Oryzias latipes: one gene and its partner. The protein of the gene in region 1 interacts with the protein of each later gene in a pairwise test. Links are inferred from orthologs where the notes say so. Each region holds a gene or a part of one and is shown in the gene's direction. Other genes may lie near its edges.

Region 1 (3,757 bases):
TGCATTTATACCTTTAGGGAAAAGTAGAAATACACGACTTGTGTATTTCTACATCTGTTGGTACTTTTTTTTTTTACTTTAAATTGTGTGATGTGGGCGGGGCTTTTCATATTCTGAGCAGGGATTGGTTAGTGGGATTTTCTGCTCTCTGTGATTCTGTACGTTTGATACTTTCCAGGAGACTCAAACGTGTTCTAGACTAACCACAGTGGGTCTGGGCTCTGGCCCCGCCCCCTCACTAAGGTTTTGACCTTTGGACATTGGTGAATGAGTTCAAATGCGTCCATCCTTCAGACCTTCAGCAGTGCAGAACGCTGCTGCACAGGACCGTTCTGCATGTGTCGGATGGGAGATTCCAACGTCTTAAAGCACTTCTTCTGTCTTCTGGAGCTTTCACTGCCAAAACGTTTGTCATTGAGACGCTGATGTGCCTGGAAGAGAATCTGATGCAGCTTCTTCCCTTAATGTGTCCTTAAGTCTGTTTGGGGCTCCAGGACTTCCCTCAACTTTATAAAGTTTGGTAAAAAAATCATTTCTACTGTTGTCTTTTTGTGGTTTTCCTCCTTTTTATCTTCATTATCAAACGTTTGTTAAACAGCTAAACAGTTTAGGGTAAATAAATTCACTTTGGGGTTACGCTCATGTTTCACAAGCTTTAAAGCTGCCTTTAAGTTCCAAATGGGAAGAAAACATTTCCAATAAACTGACCTTCACAGTGGGGACGACCTGAGGAAGCAGTTTAAACCTTCCATAACTGATCTTCTCTGCGTCACGTCAGACACACTTGGAGGTGGTTAAACGATTTCAGATGAAGCTTTTAAAGAAACAGCTGGAGAACCGATGGGGGCCAAAGTCTGAACGACACACCAACACCGCTCTGGGAAACGGAACCAATCTACACATCTTGTCATTTCAGTTTCCTGTCCAGGTTAAACCACAAAAAAATGAGAACAGACAGGATTTCAATGAAAGACTGATCCACACTGAAGATGTAAATTATTCCATTTTACTTGTATGAATTGTAATTTCAGAACAATTTACGAACAAAAACGCATTTCATTCAAGAATTAAGTTTGTTTTAGAAAGTTTTTCATCCAAATATTTTGATGACTGAAGTTAAAATTATGAGAAGAATTACCTTGAGGTTTGACCGATGCGTTTGAGAAAAACGGGGATTCGGAGATTCGTTGGGTTTTGTGTGGAAAGAATCTCGAGTCTGTAATGTCTTCTTACATTTCTATTGATTCCATATTCAGACAAACATTGAATACATTTGAGTGCTACATTGTATAGGATGAAAACTGTAACGACAACAGAAATTAAGCAAGACTTAAGAAACCAAAGCGGCTTTCTTACTGCCGGAGAACAGGATTTTCAGAGCGACCGCGAACGCAGCACCGGAGAGGCTACTTGCGGAAGTGTGTGAAAGGAAAATCACATGACCGAGCTGCAGCCGCTCCAAGCGCTACCCGACATGGACAAACGTCTCCGGACACGGTGACCCTTCACCGAGCAGCGGCGTGGGCTCTGACACGGTGACGTCCACGGTGAGTGGGGCTGGCGGGGCGGTCGGTTTCTACGCCGTTAACGGGGTTACCGCGGGGTTCGTTTAGCAGCTAGCCGCTATTATGGCTAACAGCTGCCCCCGCGCGGAAGCAGCTGAGCCCGGACACCCCCGCACACACACTTGAGTCACCGTCTCTGTGTCCGCAGATGGAGGAGATCAAGGTGTCTCCAGACTACAACTGGTTCCGAAGCACCGTGCCACTTAAGAGGGTAAGTTCCCGCCTCGTCACGCGCCTCACTCCGGAGCAGCTGGACCGTCGCCGATGCGATGAGGGCTAACGCTCGCGCGCGTTGAAATTCTTATGAAACACCTGCTCTCGTGGTCACGTGATACAAAAGCACCCCAGGTGTGAAGGGGTCCATTCCGTGACGGGTCATCGGGATTCTGTCCTGCTGGATCAACCTTCAGGTTCTGATGAGCCGAACCTGTTCAGAACCGAGCTTCAGGACAAACACAGCTGAACTCCTTAAACCCAGAGAGGTTATTTTTCTGAAACTACATGCACACCGTTCAGACCAGGTGTTCACACTGCGCCTGCAGGGAGGGGCTTCTTCTTCTTCTTCTTCTGTTTACTAGCCTCAACCTACAGTCGGAGGAGGCTTGCTGTGAAATGTCCTCCAGACTTTTGTGACTGACTCTGTCGTAGAATTCGGTTGGTTCTGTAAATGAACCCTTTAATCGCCGTGGCTTTAGCGCCCGTGTTCTTTACCGTACCTGGTTTTAAAGCCCTCCTATTCAAAGGTTGAGGATTACTTTATATGGAAATGAGGGCGTGGTCTTTAAGCTGACAGGTGGTGGTAGTATCATGGTCTCTAAAGCACACGTTAGCTTGTCACGCTGTCTAAGAAACGTTTTACAAATGTTATGCACTAATACTTGATCTTGTGACCTGCTTCCCTTCTGTTCAATAAAATCACCATGAAAACAGTTGACAAACAACAAAATAAGACCAAGAACGCACTGCTTAGACCACGCCCCTTCGCCATTACGTGTTTTCATTTTGTCCCTTCTGTCTCACCTGTTTCCTGTATTCACTTTTTAAACTGGTTTATGGTTTTTCTGGAGAACCACAGTTTGGAAAAATGAAGCTCCGCTCAAACAGATGTTTGATAAAATCATAAAGTTTTTATGATTTTGCTCAAATGTTGTCTTTTTTCAAATTTTATTTACATTCAGATTGTTGTAAACATTGTTTTTGTGGTTAGTGAATATAGTAGGAAGACTCTGCATCTCATTCCACAGCAGAAAAAAAAGGTTTTACCTTGGAAAAAGGAAGCTTGGAGCCTGACAGCTGTGTTTCTATTTTAGTCTAAGAAAATATCACAACGTTTTCTGCTAAAGATGTTTAATTTAAACCTCACAAATCCCCTCATGAGTGTCAGGCGTCTCTGCATTTAGTTTGTTAGGTTTTTTTCAAGATTTGTGGTCAATTATTGCTTAAACAATCGTTCTGATTGCTTTAGTTCATGACTTTTGTGTTGAGTTCTGCGTGAAAATGAGAAATCTGAGGCTGGATTTCAGCGGCACGGATCGCCCTCTTGGATTAAGATGAGATTAGCTTTCAGAAAACGGGTTTGGTCCTCGGATCTGCTGTTTGGTGGAACAACGGCTCGCGTTGTCTTTTGGAATAAGACGATTATTCCCGTCGGGTTTTTAGCTCACAGATCTCTTAAAAATGGGGATTTGTTTGGCGTTGGAGCCGACACCCGGCTGGTTCCCGCAGCTGGAGGTTGAGCCGCTGCTGCTGAGGCTCTGAGAGGTGGAGAGTCATGTGACGGCGTTCATCACCCAGCCGTCACATGCTTCCCTCAGCTTCACACGGGCATCACATGTGCTGCTTTTACTGGCACGAATCCACTCGTTTTCCCTCTGCTCACTCATGCACTTCAGGAGAGATGCATTCTGGGACAGAGAGGTTGAGTGACTGATGCAGGTCAGCTTCTGGCAGCACGGCTTAAAACCCCCCAGACAAGTTTGATCTGAAGGATTTAAGATTTTCAGAAAAACCTCTCTGCAGATTCTTTTGTTACCACTGACTGTATACCGGAACTGGACGGAGGGGCCCCTCCCCTTTGCTACAAACAGGAAGTATCTGCAAATCAACAGCTGTCATTCTGTTGGTCAGAAGAACCGTTCTGGATCGGATACCTTTTTGTTTTTAAACATCTACTTGATAAAACTCTTTTTTTT
Region 2 (2,486 bases), on another chromosome or scaffold:
TGGCACATGAGTATAGGTGCACTTGCATATAAGTTGCAACCGGCACATAAGTTACTCCTGCATATAAGTAGTACCTGCATATAAGTCCCACCTGTGTATAAGTGCAGTTGCACATAAATTGCACCTGCGTATAAGTCACACCTGGATATAAGTTGCACCTTTGTATAAGTCGAATCTATGTATAAGTCGCACCTGTGTATAAGTGCACTTGCATATATATTGAACCTGCGTATAAGTTGCACCTAGGTATGAGTAGCACCTGCGTATAAGTTACTCCTGCATATAAGTAACACATGCATATTGGTCGCACCTGAGAATAAGTAACACCTGCATATAATTTACACCTGAGGATAAGTAACACATGGATATAAGTTGCATATAAGTTGCACCTGCACATAAGTTACTCCTGCATATAAGTCGCACCTGAATATAAGTAACACCTGTGTATAAGTGCAGTTGCACATAAATTGCACCTGTGTATAAGTCGCTCCTGAGAATAAGTAACACCTGCATATAAGTTGCACCTGTGTATGAGTCGTACCCCATTCAAACCATAAAAACATTTAAAGAAGAAACTCAGAAAAATAGGGTAATCTATCAATTATTCTTTTTAAAAAACAAATTTTTATCATTTAACGCTACACAATACTTTTATGGAACATGTTTAGGATTACCAGCTTTATATTTGACAGTGAAAAGCATCCTAAACAACAACAAGAACAAAAACTCTCCTGCTTTTTTTGTGGGTTTTTCTTTTAGCTGCTTTTAATCCAAATACTTTAATTTCACCGGTAATTTAGACGTAATGGGAAGTCATGATGTGCACAATTGAAACCCAGCTGAGTCAGGGTGTGCAGTGGAGTGAGGGGAGGGGGAACTGATTTGATTGGCCTGTAGTTTTGACCGACAGCTGGCATCTCCGCCTCTGTGCAGCTGCGCCTTAAAGCCCAGAGCCCATCCTTGGCTGCTGCTTTCTGGATAATCCGCCTGCAGCTGCTCAACGGTAAAACGGTCTGTCAGATGTTTGATGCTTTGTCTGGTTGGTGTTGTGTTAAGGGAATCGACTCATTTCGATGTGTTTGTCCAACTTTGAGTTGATCAATCATGTCACCTTTCTTTTGAAAATTGAGTTTGGTCAGAGAAACGGGTGAGGAGATGACTGACCTGGAGACGTCGATGGCGACCATCATCGCTGTGTTTCAGAAGTACTCGGAGAGAGAAGGAGACAAGCACAAGTTGAAGAAGAGCGAGCTGAGGGAGCTGCTTCACGACGAGCTGCCGGAGCTGATGGCGGTGGGTGAGCGGCGGAAGGTTTGGCTTCACATTCGACTCACCCGAGCGGCCGCAGTGAAGCCGTCCCTCTCCTTTCCTCCCCCCCCCTTGCAGCACGTCAAAGACCAGGCCACGCTGGACAGCCTGATGGAGAGCCTGGACACGGACGGCGACGCCGAGTGCAACTTCCAGGAGTTCATGACATTTGTCTCCCTGGTGACCGTCTGTTGCCATGAGTTCTTTGAGCATGAGGACGACTGAGGACACAAAGGGGTTGGCAGGGAACCTGAAGGAACTCTGTGATGCGGCTGCTGGCACAAATCCACCCCATAGTTTCCACTAAGTGGTGATGAAGTTAGAAAATAGCCAATCTGAAGGTAGGCTAGTGAAAGTACCGATTTTAGACAACCTATTTTTGTTTTTTTCTTTCTGTTAAAGTCAGTCAGACTGGAAGATTCGTAAAAAAAAATGCTTTTCTTTGTAGTGATTTTGAAAGCACTTTCTCTGTCTAAGTTTAGGGTGGAGCCTTTCTAATGATAAACTTTTGCTCTGAATCAAATAAAGAACATTTCAAAATAGTCAGTTGTGTTTGCCTATATTCTACTATGGATTATTTATTCCTAATTTAACTCCAGATTTGACATAAAACTGTCAAGTGGCTGGTTCTTAATCCATCTAAGCACTTGTGTTTACGGTTTTACGACACATTTTAGACTTCAAAAAATACTTTTTAGTAAAGCTTTTTTTTTTTTTTTTTTTGCAATATACAGTTTGGTTTTCCTTTTATTATCGGATTTGCAAAGTAAGAATAACGAAGACATTTGCAGAAAAATGTTGTGTTCATGAAATTTTTGATCTTTTAAGATTAAAAAAAGGATTTAAGAATGATGCACTATAAAAAAAATATGGTAAAAAAATCATATGTTCTACATAATATGAAATCTCAAGTTTTTATTTTTGAATCTTTAAATTTGGGCAAAAGTCATAAAATTGTTGGAATTTTAGCACTAACTTGTGATTGTGAAAATAAAAATTTCTTATTAAACTAATTATTTAATCCTACCTGAGCCAAAACAAACTGGATCTAAAAGATCATATAATGAACAAAATTGATTAAAAAAATCAATTTTCCGCCAAAACTCTTGATCGCAAAATTAAACATTTTTTTCAATAAACACATTTTTTAAATCATATCTAAACCCTGTAAATTGGAT

Evidence for each region. The genes of interacting proteins can lie anywhere in the genome.
Region 2: the proteins of spg21 (region 1) and s100b interact in binary tests that used the Homo sapiens proteins (3 or more experiments, as listed by UniProt). The two-hybrid records come from large-scale screens. The link is inferred for Oryzias latipes from reciprocal best matches to the Homo sapiens genes SPG21 and S100B.

The regions. Positions count from the first base shown.
Region 1 is NC_019861.2:37,280,984-37,284,740, reverse strand, and holds the start of spg21 (maspardin), read left to right. Parts: upstream 1-1,413; 5' UTR 1,414-1,547; intron 1,548-1,713; coding exon 1,714-1,776; intron 1,777-3,757. UniProt on the Homo sapiens protein: May play a role as a negative regulatory factor in CD4-dependent T-cell activation.
Region 2 is NC_019860.2:3,716,225-3,718,710, forward strand, and holds s100b (protein S100-B), read left to right. Parts: upstream 1-916; 5' UTR 917-1,003; exon of another isoform or gene 1,004-1,039; intron 1,040-1,130; 5' UTR 1,131-1,155; coding exon 1,156-1,293; intron 1,294-1,386; coding exon 1,387-1,533; 3' UTR 1,534-1,850; downstream 1,851-2,486. UniProt on the Homo sapiens protein: Small zinc- and- and calcium-binding protein that is highly expressed in astrocytes and constitutes one of the most abundant soluble proteins in brain.